Saccharomyces cerevisiae S288C: one gene and its partners. The protein of the gene in region 4 binds, or shares a complex with, the protein of the main gene of each other region. Each region holds a gene or a part of one and is shown on either strand. Other genes may lie near its edges. A codon is read from its position in the direction of its gene.

Evidence for each region.
Region 1: the proteins of POL30 (region 4) and RFC3 are in contact, whole or in part, in a crystal structure (PDB 1SXJ), measured with the Saccharomyces cerevisiae proteins. Residues at the interface, in NP_009645.1 of Saccharomyces cerevisiae: Val40 (codon at 1,224), Asp42 (codon at 1,218), Ser43 (codon at 1,215), Arg44 (codon at 1,212), Val45 (codon at 1,209), Leu46 (codon at 1,206), Phe125 (codon at 969), Lys127 (codon at 963), Glu129 (codon at 957), Lys210 (codon at 714), Tyr211 (codon at 711), Glu232 (codon at 648), Pro234 (codon at 642), Ala251 (codon at 591), Pro252 (codon at 588), Lys253 (codon at 585), Phe254 (codon at 582), Asn255 (codon at 579); in NP_014109.1 of Saccharomyces cerevisiae: Lys73 (codon at 1,325), Asn74 (codon at 1,322), Ser76 (codon at 1,316), Asn77 (codon at 1,313), Asn95 (codon at 1,259), Gln96 (codon at 1,256), Asp99 (codon at 1,247), Phe100 (codon at 1,244), Ala101 (codon at 1,241), Ser102 (codon at 1,238), Thr103 (codon at 1,235), Arg104 (codon at 1,232), Gln105 (codon at 1,229), Ile106 (codon at 1,226), Phe107 (codon at 1,223), Lys109 (codon at 1,217), Lys112 (codon at 1,208), Asn140 (codon at 1,124).
Region 2: the proteins of POL30 (region 4) and RFC2 are in contact, whole or in part, in a cryo-EM structure (PDB 7TI8), measured with the Saccharomyces cerevisiae proteins. Residues at the interface, in NP_009645.1 of Saccharomyces cerevisiae: Leu25 (codon at 1,269), Asp93 (codon at 1,065), Thr95 (codon at 1,059), Pro96 (codon at 1,056), Asp97 (codon at 1,053), Lys117 (codon at 993), Leu118 (codon at 990), Met119 (codon at 987), Asp120 (codon at 984); in NP_012602.3 of Saccharomyces cerevisiae: Asn112 (codon at 1,292), Arg115 (codon at 1,283), Leu116 (codon at 1,280), Thr117 (codon at 1,277), Val118 (codon at 1,274), Ser119 (codon at 1,271), Lys120 (codon at 1,268), Val163 (codon at 1,139).
Region 3: the proteins of POL30 (region 4) and RFC4 are in contact, whole or in part, in a crystal structure (PDB 1SXJ), measured with the Saccharomyces cerevisiae proteins. Residues at the interface, in NP_009645.1 of Saccharomyces cerevisiae: Leu25 (codon at 1,269), Asp71 (codon at 1,131), Ser74 (codon at 1,122), Thr95 (codon at 1,059), Pro96 (codon at 1,056), Asp97 (codon at 1,053), Lys117 (codon at 993), Leu118 (codon at 990), Met119 (codon at 987), Asp120 (codon at 984); in NP_014547.1 of Saccharomyces cerevisiae: His95 (codon at 1,190), Gln98 (codon at 1,181), Lys99 (codon at 1,178), Lys100 (codon at 1,175), Leu101 (codon at 1,172), His102 (codon at 1,169).

What each region holds. Positions count from the first base shown.
Region 1 is NC_001146.8:84,493-87,758, reverse strand, and holds RFC3 (replication factor C subunit 3), read right to left. Parts: upstream 1,542-3,266; coding exon 519-1,541; downstream 1-518. Other genes in the region: MID1 (Mid1p), read left to right, coding at 1,944-3,266. UniProt on the Saccharomyces cerevisiae protein: Component of ATP-dependent clamp loader (RFC and RFC-like) complexes for DNA clamps, such as the POL30/PCNA homotrimer and the checkpoint clamp DDC1:MEC3:RAD17 complex.
Region 2 is NC_001142.9:565,855-569,267, reverse strand, and holds RFC2 (replication factor C subunit 2), read right to left. Parts: upstream 1,626-3,413; coding exon 564-1,625; downstream 1-563. Other genes in the region: nucleoside triphosphate pyrophosphohydrolase HAM1, read left to right, coding at 1-462; YAE1 (Yae1p), read left to right, coding at 1,824-2,249; phosphatidylinositol kinase-related protein kinase TOR1, read right to left, coding at 2,440-3,413. UniProt on the Saccharomyces cerevisiae protein: Component of ATP-dependent clamp loader (RFC and RFC-like) complexes for DNA clamps, such as the POL30/PCNA homotrimer and the checkpoint clamp DDC1:MEC3:RAD17 complex.
Region 3 is NC_001147.6:141,084-144,156, forward strand, and holds RFC4 (replication factor C subunit 4), read right to left. Parts: upstream 1,473-3,073; coding exon 501-1,472; downstream 1-500. Other genes in the region: HMI1 (ATP-dependent 3'-5' DNA helicase), read right to left, coding at 1-264; TRM10 (tRNA (guanine(9)-N(1))-methyltransferase), read left to right, coding at 1,732-2,613. UniProt on the Saccharomyces cerevisiae protein: Component of ATP-dependent clamp loader (RFC and RFC-like) complexes for DNA clamps, such as the POL30/PCNA homotrimer and the checkpoint clamp DDC1:MEC3:RAD17 complex.
Region 4 is NC_001134.8:424,426-427,712, forward strand, and holds POL30 (proliferating cell nuclear antigen), read right to left. Parts: upstream 1,342-3,287; coding exon 565-1,341; downstream 1-564. Other genes in the region: RFC5 (replication factor C subunit 5), read left to right, coding at 1-404; NHP6B (high-mobility group nucleosome-binding protein), read right to left, coding at 1,765-2,064; YBR090C (uncharacterized protein), read right to left, coding at 1,908-2,091, 2,449-2,633; TIM12 (Tim12p), read right to left, coding at 2,730-3,059; acid phosphatase PHO3, read right to left, coding at 3,273-3,287. UniProt on the Saccharomyces cerevisiae protein: This protein is an auxiliary protein of DNA polymerase delta and is involved in the control of eukaryotic DNA replication by increasing the polymerase's processibility during elongation of the leading strand. Involved in DNA repair.

The DNA of each region.
Region 1 (3,266 bases), on a different chromosome or scaffold from region 4:
GTAGGCCTATTGACCTTATATATGTTTTCCTATCGCTATATGGAAGCTACCATTCCTTTTATTCTCCATAATAACGCCAAAATCTGCCCACAGCCTTGTAGCCTCATTTGGCTCCCGACATTTCGAGTCGCTTTTGCGTCGCATGCCTCCGCGAAAAATTTCGCGCCGGACGCGATTTTTAACACGAAATTCTTGTTCGTGCCGCTGTTGCCCTTTTGGGAAATATTTCCCGATCTGGCATTCGCAGAACACTAGAGCCAGAGTTCTGCCATTCTTTACGTCCAAGAGGTTAAAGTACAGATCACGTAACGGAATGCTACTTTCTGTAACAATTTGGCGATTCGCATTCTCAGTTGTTAGCTAGACGCCAATTGATTTACGGTTTCCGGTATGCAAATTGAAAATGCTTTCATCTATTTCTTTTATTTTTTTTATTTCGTTCTGGGCGTTGTGTTATGTTGTTATATTGCACAATGCAGTTGTTCTGTACATATTGTATCTATACATATTTGCGTCGATTATACGTTGGCTTTAACAGTTTCGTTCTCGAAGCTGGCCTTGATGGCGCCAATGACCGCGCTGCCCTGAATCTGGTCGTTGCCACCCTTGGATATCGAGTACTCTATATCGGCCAGTTTGGTAAGCAAATGCACTCTTGTTTCCTCATTTTGAAGTTCGTAGTCTTCCAGTATCTTCACTATGCCCTCGATTAGGTCGATCAACGCGAGACCCTTGGCACTGCGTACCTTATTAAGTGTGTAGTGGGCGGTACCCCAATCGTCCTCCAGTATCGACTTCAATACTGCCTTTAAGTCACTTGGTCTGGGTGCCCCACAGCATTCATAGATAACGTCGTCACTGATCTCATCCTCGTCGGGATTGTCTAAAGTAGCTTTGCAAGACTGCAAAACGTTTAACACACGTCTCATATCCCCATTAGAAAGTTCTATTAAGGCCTTCTCCGCATTAGGAGACAACTTCAGCTTCTCATGCACCAAGACGTTGGCTATCCGACGCTCAATGGCCTCTTGGGGCAAGGGCTGAAATCTGAATCTCGTGCACCTACTCAATAACGCAGGTGTAAGTTTATGCGCATAATTGGCCAATACACAGAACCGCGTATTCTTGGTGTACCGTTCTATAACTCTTCTCAACGCATTTTGTGCGGCATTGGTCATGGCATCTGCTTCATCCAGTATAATTAACTTGAACCCTTTAGAGAAGATTTGTCTTGTAGAGGCAAAGTCTTTAATTTGATTCCTCACCACATCAATACCTCTGTCATCGGATGCATTCAGCTCCAAAACCATGTTCGAGTAATTCTTACCATATATCTCACGTGCCAAAGCAACAATTGTAGAAGTTTTACCGGTACCTGGAGGCCCATAGAATAGAAGATGTGGCAATTTACCTTCATCTACAAATTTACGAACTGTGGTGATCACCTCATTTTGTCCGTACACTTCGTCCAACGTTTCGGGTCTGTATTTTTCAACCCATGGAAGGTTTTCTTTGCTCCTCTTCTCTGTACTTGTCGACATTCTTGTATGTCGGGCCTGTTCCTACACCTTTTATAAAATTATTCAAGCTTTGAAAAGATATTTATCCTGTGCTCTTTATAGCTTCTTTCCATTTCTTTCAAAATCGCGTACTGACCAAAAAAAAAAAAGATCAAAATTGAGAAGCCATACATAATATAATAATGATATAGTTTCGCTGCCATCGGACCGCAATAGTAACTCTACAAGTAAACGTGTTGTTTTCTCAAGAACAGGTTACTGAAACTGAGCCATTGGTTGCGGAAAATTTCCCTAATAATTTCGACCGGCTGACGTACCGTTTTGGCTATTTCTCAAATACTTGACTGGCTTAACTGCCATACTGAATTGCAGTAAAACCCGTAACACTACAATTTCTGTCCAGCGGCAGTATTATTTCTAAGGATGATAGTGTGGCAAGCACTATTCGTGGTTTACTGCCTATTTACCACTTCTATTCACGGTTTATTCCAAGACTTCAATCCTTTCGCAAATAAGAATATTTCCTTAAAGTTTCCCAGCCTAAATAGATGGGAGAAAAACGTTATGGCTACTGGTCAACAAACAATCATCAATTCGGATAGCATTTATGAATGGACCCCGATCTTATCTAACATAACAGCGGGCAAAAAAGACAGTTTTGTATTTACCATTGACGCAGAAGCCTCCGGTTATGGGTTTGCTCCCACGTATGAAGTGTTAATGTTTATTAGCGGCAATATATGCCAAATGCCCATGAATAGATCAGATGTGGATTTAACAATATACTACTCTTTTAATGAAACGGTTTTAGAGAACCCAAATATAGGTCAAAGTGCAGTTTTTCAGGATGGCTACATCCAAGCATTAGCCATCAGTCCAGTGCAGTCTTCTAGCTCGAACGCTACCTCCACGTATTCAAATCTTTATGTGGTCGCTGAGCTAGTGAATTCCACTACGGAGCAACCTCTGTCCAGTTCCGACGCCTCTGAAAATTGGGAATATAGACTGAGTATCTCTGAGAACGATTTGGTTTTTCAGTGGGATGTAAGGCCTTGGGTAGAGGTCCTGGACACTGATATGAATTCTGCATTACTATCAACGGGGAATGTCACCGCAGACGCCAAAGTTTATCACAATTATTCAATATATGATCCATCCTTGTACGATCTGTATGTTTACTCGTACGAAGATTCTGTTCAACTAAACCAAAACTATAATTTATCTCTTTGTGCTGTGAAAAATGGACCATATTTAGTGTCTTCCCAAAATACATCAAATGCAACAGTTACGTCAAATAGTACAAATCCTTTAGAGCGTACTGACTTGGCGATTCAAAAAAAAATTACAGAATATGGTGGTAGCGTGACAGAAATGTTTTACGTGACAGGACTGAATGCCTCAACAACTTATGTAGCGTACCTGACAAAGAAAATCAGTAATGGTGATGGGTTGTCAAGTGTGGGCGGCATTTTATTTTCACATGTTTATTTTACCACAAGAAGTACCGATGTCTGCTCTTTGATCTTTGGTTTGGACTTCTGCAGTGACGTCGCTTACTCTGTTCCTACATCCTCATTTTCTGTGGGTAATAAAACTCTCATGGCGCAGACATATGACCACATTGCAGAGGCACTATATGCAAATTTTAGCAAAGCTCTACAGTTAATATCCTGTGACGCAGACAAAGACGCAAGATATTCTCCGGTCATGACTTGTGACGATTGTGCCGAAGCTTATCGTGATTGG
Region 2 (3,413 bases), on a different chromosome or scaffold from region 4:
GAATTGCAGGACACGGATCTGAATGCCATTGCGTTAGCTAAGGGAAAGCAAGCTGTTGCGGCCTTGGGTAAGGGTAAGCCAGTGTTTGTGGAAGACACTGCGTTGAGATTTGACGAATTTAACGGTCTACCAGGTGCTTATATAAAATGGTTTTTAAAGAGCATGGGATTGGAAAAAATTGTGAAAATGTTGGAACCCTTTGAAAATAAAAACGCTGAAGCAGTTACCACCATTTGTTTTGCTGATTCTCGGGGTGAATATCACTTCTTTCAAGGTATTACAAGAGGCAAGATCGTTCCAAGCCGGGGACCCACTACATTCGGCTGGGATTCAATTTTTGAACCTTTTGATAGTCATGGACTGACTTACGCAGAGATGAGCAAAGACGCAAAGAATGCTATTTCTCATCGTGGTAAAGCCTTCGCTCAGTTTAAAGAGTACTTGTATCAAAATGACTTTTAGGTGATGTGCTGAGAAGATAAGAGGAATTATGGATAGATTTTTTTTTTTTTATTCTTACTTTATGTCGCCTCTATATTCAATTATATAAAGATGCCTGTATATTAGAGTTGGGATATTTTAACCAATAAGTTTAATAATTGGATGTGCTCGTTCGTTCCGTTGTTTAATCTGGAATCCGTAGTAAACAGCAACCAAGATATTTGATTTTTGAAGTTCGTATCAAAGTTATCGTTGGTGATGTAATATTCATGTAGTTGGTTAACTACTGACGCAGCAGACCAACCGCTTTTCATAAACGTATTGACGTATTTCTTAATCTCATCAAAATCACCACTTTTGACTTTTTCAACAATTTCTATTAGAATGTCATGAGGTACCACACCAGCTAATTCTTCCACTTGGGTAGAAGTTATGTTTTTACCATCACCCAAGTATTGCGCCCCCTTGGAAGCGGATTGTAATAATGTAATGCCTCTTCTCAAGTCACCTGCCGAAATGTCCAAGATCCTTTCCAAAACTCCATCATCACATTTAACATTTTCTTGTTCGCTGATAAACCTCAAACGGTCAATGGCATTACTTGCGTCTAGGGCTTTGAATCTAAATTTGGAACAACGGGACGCTAGCGGGTCAATAATTCTTGTCACATAATTACAAATCAAACAGAATCTTGTTACTCCTGAATAGGTTTCCATTGTTCTACGTAATGCACTCTGTGCATCGGCAGTCATTGAATCGGCCTCATCGAGAATAATGATCTTATACGGTGGGCACGGATAGTTCTCCAAGTCATGTTTGCTAGGCTTGGATACAGTCAATCTTGCAAAATTTTTTACCTTTTCTCTTACAATAGAGATACCACGTTCGTCAGAAGCGTTCAACTCCAATATTCTTGATTTCATCAAGTCGGGTCCATATAATTCTTTTGTTAGCGCTAAAATGGTAGACGTTTTACCAGTTCCTGGGGGACCATAAAACAACATATGTGGTAGATTAGCTGACTTTAAGGTTTTCTTCAAAACAGTAACGGCATGATCTTGAGCTGTCACTTCATCTAGGTTTTTGGGCCTGTATTTCTCAACCCAGGGTTGTTGTGCCAATGATTGCTCTGCGGCTAACTTTGATATCTTACGCTTTTTATTTGGACCAAACCCTTCAAACATCTCAAGTGATTGCCAATACTTTCCCCCAGTATTTCTCGCTGTCTCTCTATTTTACTTCTCTTATAGCATTGACTTGTTCGCTTGAGTTACTTCCTGATTGCTTTGAAATACGCGAAGTAAAAGAGTGAAAAATAACGATGAGAAAGGTTTTTGATAGAAGAGAACAAAAAAGGAACAGTGTTACAATAGTATATAGAGATGTCGAATACTTGGGACGATGTATGGGCATCAGACAGTGATGTCGAAACTGAACGATCTCCAGATTTAGTGAAGTTAAGAGAGAATCATAGCAAGAGGGGGTACTTGGACGGAATAGTGAGTTCTAAAGAAGAAAAGCTGCAAGAGGGTTTCAATGATGGTTTCCCAACGGGCGCTAAATTAGGGAAACAAGTTGGCATAATTATGGGGATTTTACTTGGCCTACGAACACGTTTTGGTGATGAAGATGAGGACCTCAGTAAGGCATATATTGATGCTCAAAAAGAATTACGCATTAACAAAGTACTTAGTAAGTCCATATTTGATCCAAACTTTGACTTGCAAGAAAAACATCCGCTCATAACAAAATGGACTGATATTGCCAATACCTATTGTGAAAAGTACCATGTGCCATCTATCCAATAAAGTTGTTTTAAATGGAGTTGATTTCACAATTTATGTACCTTATATCATCCTTCATTTCACATAATGACGAGATATTACAAAAATAATGATAATAATAATAATAATACACAATACTTGCACACGTATACAAATGCGTAATACAAAAAAAATAAATAGTAAACAAAGCACGAAATGAAAAATGACACCGCAGTCACCAGAATGGGCACCATCCAATATAATGTTGACATAACCTTTCAATAGAAGTGGCTTGTTGGATCAGTTTATCAACCTGCTCAGGGACGTCTAATTCATTGAACCTCTTGATATCATTGCCCGTTAATTTATCTGTAATACGTCTCAAAACAAGCATTGCTCTGGCGTTTTTGGTCTCATTTTGTTGTTCTGCTTCCATATTTGCCGCTTCTTCGACAGTAATTGCCCCCTTCCTTAATAATTCACTAGGATTAATCAACGGCAAAGGAATTCCAGTTTGCTCAGTAAGTTTTTGTGGCGGTAAATCAAATCCCCAATGGATCAAAGGATCAAGCGCAAAAGCTTCCAAGATCGCCATTAATGATTCTTTATTATCTCTTAAGACTCTCATGACATTTTCACAAGTAATTCGGAAACTGCCTTCAATTCCACTAACTTCCATTGCGTATGTTAACATCCTAGTTAGTCTAAATGGCACTTTTTCTGGATACTTTTCTCTTAAGATGGCAGCTTCAAAACAATCGCCGAAATCAATGTGGATAACTTTACCGGTGATTCTATCTAGCATCAGGTTGCTTGGATGGCGATCACCTAGTCCCAGAATATAACCAGTCATGGACATAACTGCTAAAGATCTCGTATAAGTTGTTCTACGTTCTAGCCATGTCTCTGACGACCTACTCTTTAACCATAATATTTTATAAAGGTCTTGGCCTTTTGTATTATCTAAAGCGTACGTGAATACTTCAATTTTTTGTAAAAGAGTCAAATTCTCATAATCGGGGGCCATTTGTAACATAACCCAATGTTCAATGTTCAACGGAATTTTTTTGGCATCACGGTGTTCTCTGATCAAAACGTGGAATGTGTCACTATTTGGTACCCATCCTAGTAAACCAGATTTAGGCGACAATGGAATAGCCGGGTATTGTTGGATATCCAAATGTCTCTTGAAACACTCTGAATCATTCT
Region 3 (3,073 bases), on a different chromosome or scaffold from region 4:
AATCTGATGGACAATTTCCTTATTTGTATGCGAGTTTTCGAAAATGGACAGTAAATTTTCTATTATACTATCAACTGCTTTGTTTGTTAACGAAAATATAAGTATTTCTTCAGGCTTAATATTCTCCACAGTAATTAAATGTAGTACTTTATATAGTAGCGTTAGCGTTTTTCCTGAGCCTGGGCCCGCAATGACTTTTATCGTAGACGCTGGTTCATATGACTTATTTATTACCTTCCATTGAGATGGAGTTAGCTTGTCCATCTGTCTTCAACGAACGACGTATACCTTCTCTATATTTTTTCTACATATTATGACTATGTAACTGCACTGCGAGTTGTAAGTTTTGATCAACAAACAACTTTAAAGCTTAAATTGTGCAAAAATGAAAAAAAAAAAAAAATTCTGACACATCACAAGGGAAGAGACAAGACAAAGAAGTAGAATTTAAAGTAATGCACTAATATGGGAGTTTTTTTTATAGTTTTCGGATATTTAAATCAGGCTTTATTATTTAGTTTATGAATTTTCGCTAACATACTAGCCAGTTGCAAGTACGTTCCAACACCCTCCAGAATTCTCATATGGGTCAAACCGATTTCTTTTATCATTTCCAATCTTACTGATTCTTTCACTTGTGCTAAGTTTTTGGTAACGCGGAAAGATGTTGTGACGATATCAATCGAGGAATAACCCTTTTTCCAAAGATCTGTTCTTAAGATTTGAATTGAATCTTCTAGGTTGGAGGCTAGTAACATTTTCTTCACTATTAGAGGGTGAGGAGAATCAACAATTTTGAAGACATTGTCTGCGTTCACTAAACCGTGTCCTGCTACTGTACTTTGTAGATTGTTTATGGCCTGTCTCATGTCACCCTCCGCTGTAAAAATGATTGCTTCTAACCCATCATTTGTATACTTAACATCCTCTAGCTTTATGATTTGTAAAAGACGTTTTAGAACGTCTTCATCGGATAGTTTAGAATACCTCAAAATCGCACATCTACTTTGCAGCGGCTCAATGATCTTGTTTGATTGATTACAAGCAAATGCAAACCTTGTAGAGTTCGAATATAGCTCCATGGTCCTTCTCAACGCTTGCTGAGCACCAGCAGTCATGGAATCCGCCTCATCAAGAATAACGATTTTATGTTTCCCTGGAGGCAAATGTAGTTTCTTCTGGGCAAAATGTTTTATTTGGTTTCTGACGACATCAATACCTCTGTCATCTGAAGCGTTCAACTCTAAAACACCGTCAGCATAAGAGCGGCCAAGGAGCTCGTGAGCAAGGCAATGTACCGAAGTGGTCTTACCTATACCTGGCATACCTGATATGATCATATGGGGCATGTTACCATCTTTAGCGATTTGCTGAAGTCTATCAATGGTCTCTTTATTACCGACTATATCAGATAAAACTTGGGGACGGTATTTCTCAACCCATGGAAGTTGCAAAGATAAAGTTTTGGACATTATAAGGGACTTTTTATATCTTCTGGGAAGCTCTGCAATGTTATAATAGATCCAATCAGATTTATAAATGCTACTATTTTACAGTATTTAAAATATGTGGTTGGTTTTCCCACCTTTTTGTCAAGAAAAAACGCGTTTAATCTAACAGTGTGATGTGGTAATGAAAAATTTTCATTGTCTTTAAGAGAGATGGTGATGTTTAATATAGCGTAAAGCTTTCAAGGTAAATAATTAAGTGTCAATCTGCAGGCAAAACAACATGTCCAATGATGAGATAAACCAGAACGAGGAAAAGGTGAAAAGAACACCACCTTTACCGCCTGTGCCAGAAGGCATGTCTAAAAAGCAATGGAAAAAAATGTGTAAAAGACAGAGATGGGAGGAGAATAAAGCCAAATACAATGCGGAACGCCGTGTAAAGAAGAAGAGACTTCGCCATGAAAGAAGTGCGAAGATTCAAGAATACATTGACAGGGGAGAAGAGGTCCCGCAGGAATTGATTAGAGAGCCTCGTATCAATGTGAATCAGACTGATTCTGGGATAGAGATCATACTTGACTGTTCTTTTGATGAGTTAATGAACGACAAGGAAATAGTAAGCTTGTCTAACCAGGTCACCAGGGCATACTCCGCGAATAGAAGGGCGAACCATTTTGCAGAAATAAAGGTGGCCCCATTCGACAAAAGACTAAAGCAAAGGTTTGAAACTACTCTGAAAAATACCAATTATGAAAACTGGAACCATTTTAAATTCCTACCAGACGACAAAATCATGTTTGGAGATGAGCATATAAGTAAGGACAAAATAGTGTATTTAACGGCCGATACAGAGGAAAAGCTGGAGAAGCTGGAACCCGGGATGCGATACATTGTTGGCGGCATTGTAGACAAGAATCGTTATAAAGAATTGTGTCTGAAGAAGGCCCAAAAGATGGGCATTCCTACGCGAAGATTGCCCATTGACGAGTACATCAATCTCGAAGGCAGAAGAGTGTTGACGACAACGCACGTCGTGCAACTCATGCTGAAATACTTTGATGACCATAACTGGAAAAATGCCTTTGAAAGCGTTTTACCACCCAGAAAGCTGGATGCGGAAGCAAAATCCGCAAGCTCTTCGCCAGCTCCAAAGGACACATAGGCAGCCATCACTGTAGTATTATTAGTAACTGAATAGCAAAATAGTAATAGTCTCCGTAGCTACAATAGGTGTATATTGATGTCAGAGATACGGGTTAAACATGCGCAACTGGTAGTAGTTCTTCAAAGGGTGTTTATGCTTATCATAGTACTTGGACATTAGCCGCCGAAACTGGCTCCACTCGAAATCTAAATGGCATTCCCTTTTTAATATTAACAACACCAATCTTAGTGTCCGAGAGGTCCAAATCTAATGTAGGGCCGTGGGAGGATACTTCTTATTTCTCTTTGCTTATTTTGCTTTGATGTTGTATGTGTTTTACCTGTAAATTCTCTAATATGGTCATTTTTGCTCTTAATGACTCTTTTATTTTTACCCGGATTGCAATTTTTCACATATCGTCTTTTTATTCACTACGTACTTTAATCGTCTTCGCGATGATATGTACTGCTAACGAAAG
Region 4 (3,287 bases):
GAATTGCTCAGGCATCGAATGGAAACTTGCGAGTCTCCCTATTAATGCTTGAATCTATGGCACTGAACAACGAATTAGCATTGAAAAGCAGTAGCCCTATAATAAAACCAGATTGGATTATAGTGATCCATAAATTAACGAGGAAAATCGTTAAAGAGAGATCTGTCAATTCTTTAATCGAATGCAGAGCTGTCCTATACGATTTACTAGCTCATTGTATACCTGCCAATATCATCTTAAAGGAACTAACGTTTTCTTTGTTGGATGTGGAAACCCTGAATACCACGAATAAATCGTCCATAATTGAATACTCAAGTGTTTTTGACGAAAGATTATCACTTGGAAACAAAGCAATATTCCATTTGGAAGGGTTCATAGCAAAAGTTATGTGCTGTCTAGATTAATGTAAGATATGTCATAAATACTGTATAAGTCACACAAAAAGCTGATATTTAACGCATCTTAGTCTTTATTTTCTTTGTTATTTATTTTCATTTAAAACAAACTTTACTGTTTTTTTTTTGTTTATTATTTTTAGTATACAACTATATAGATAATTTACATTTATTCTTCGTCATTAAATTTAGGAGCCAAGAAAAACTGTAGGAACCCACTCTTCAAATCAAATTGGAATAAAGCAGGAGCTTCGCTGGAGAGCCTGATACCAACTCTATCAGAAAGGGAGGAGCCCTTAATGATGTCCAATAAATATTTAGCTCCGAACGTCAAGTCGACAGGTTGATCCATTTCAAGTTTGATGCTTGTTTCAGGATGTTCCATATCCACGAATGGTTTTATTATGACTGAACCTGATCCGATATCACCGTCAGCTACAAACTTTATTGTTTCTTTGGTGATCATGATATTAATAGAATCACTCAATTGGGACAAGTCACGAACAATTTTAGAGAATTCGGAAGATGGCAATGACAGGGTGGAGTCGTACTGTAATTCTTCAATCTTTAAGAAATCAGCATCGATATCCATCAATTTCAGAGAGTATTCGGCTATACGGTCTTTCTTGGTATCCTCAAATAATAAGATGATGGAATCCGGTGTGTTGTCAGCAATTAGTGTTAATGTATCGGTGTTGTTACCACAACGTAGGATTTTACTTAGTGAGGTTAGATCCATACCTAACGTAACAGGATGGTCACATCTATATTCTTGGAAGGCTTCGACACCTATTTCCAAGGAGACCAATAGAACTCTTGAGTCATCGACAGCTTGTGCAATGATACCATCTTCTTTACATTGGAAATTGACCAACTGGACACAATCTTTGAAACCATCAATTATTCTCTTGAAAAGGGATGCTTCTTCAAATTTTGCTTCTAACATTTTTTCTCTCTTTTGACTGCGTACTTAGTGCTTGCTGCTTGTTGCTGTGAGTGAAAAAGGACGGCGAAAGTGAAAGGTGCAAGTGGAAAGAAAGGAAGGCTAAAGCAAAAGTGTTTCTTATATATAATTTTATGTACCAGAGGAAGCAAAGTACGAAAACTATCAGTTGAAATCCAAAAAAAAAAAGTTACGCGTTTCGCGTTTTGGTGCGTCGGATGGAGAAGAAAAATGCTAAATAATTAGATATTGAAGAATCAGCATAAGTTGTGCGAAAAAGGAAGAGAATACATAAAAGAAAAGAAGGATATATAAGTAAAATAATGATAATAGTAATAATAATAACACATAATGCAACCTACTCAACTTCTTTCTGAAGTTTCAAAAGTACGTTGTATGGGAGGTAGAGAACATTGAGTTGTTAGATCAAGCACGTGTAGCATTGTACAATTCCTTTTCAGATTCGTATCTCTTCTTGTCTGCTTGAGCCTTAGATTCATAGGGTTGCTTTTCTTCAGCAGTTAAGGCCTTCCACCTCTCACCCAATATTCTGCCTACTTGGCCAAAAGTTACGTCAGGATTCTCGGAACGGACAATGTCTCTGTTTTCATTAGCAAAGAACATATAAGCTGACAAGCCCCTCTTAGGGGCGTTAGGATCCTTCTTTCTCCTGGTGGTCCTCTTCTTTGGTTCCTTTGGTTGCTTTGCTTCTTTAGTTGCGGCCATAGCGCTAGTTTTATATATGTTAATGTTCTAAGTTAATTAGTTAGTACTCTTGTCGTGCGCTATGATAAACAAAGGAAGGGGGTGCACAGAACAGCAGTCCTTTAGAGGATACTACAGTAGAAAGCTAGAGTCCTGACTTACAACTTGAGCATGCCGTTATGGGCGGCTATTTCATTTCACCTGAACCGTATTAAAATATCATCTTCCTTGCTGCTACAACCTTCATTGTAGCCGGTTTATAAGATTACCATCATTGTCTACCCCTCTTTAACTTCTCCCGAAAAGCAGAGTTGCCCTTAGCTGTATCCTGTTCTAGCTGTGCTAAACTGTACGTTCTTATTAAGCCCATCCTCGTCCGCTGGGCTCACCCAGCGCCTTACATACTTTGCGAAAAAGTCGTTTTTCTGCTTGGTGTTAGGAGCTGTCTCCCATAGTGTAAACTCCCAGTATTGCCTCAACCTCACTTGCTGTACTTTATAGTTGCCGCGCCACCTAAAAAAAAAAACAAAAAAGACACCACCTAAAAAAACGGGTGAGGGGAATGCACGTGACCCAGGTGCGGGTACCATATAAATGTACTTCTAAAATTGTCTACACAGCTTATAATGCTATATATGCAGGTTACTATTATATACAAACAGCACAGACAGTCCTCATATTTACAGCTATTTTTTGGAATCATCAGCTATTTCTTTGGCCACAAATCGCGAATAATGTCGTAGCTGATTCTCTGGCCCGAAACCTCGTGTTTGTACAAATCCTCCAATGAGGCGATTGCTGTAATGCATCTTTGCCACACATCTGTCTATGCAGCATTGCTCACCTTTCGTTAGATCAGGCTCACCAAAGCCCTCATGCGGAATACATTTCTCAAGACACGTACTGAGAATATTGTTGAAAGTCGAGCACATCGCATCGAATTGCACTCCTGCAACGTCTAGCTTCTCTTGCGAGACCTCCTGGTTGCCCCTTAGACTATTTAAAAAGAACGACATCCTTTTCTTGGTGCACTTTAATATTATACGGGAGCTCCGATATCTATTTCAGCAATATAGACTACAATCAACTTTGCTGTTCTTACTTTTTAGTTAACTTTTTTCTTTTCATTCTGCCGCTAATCTACAAACTCGTTACCCTACTAGTACATAAAAGAAGATCAGAATCGATGGGTATTTATTTATATTTGCAATATTATTTATTTATACAATTTATTGTTTTAATAG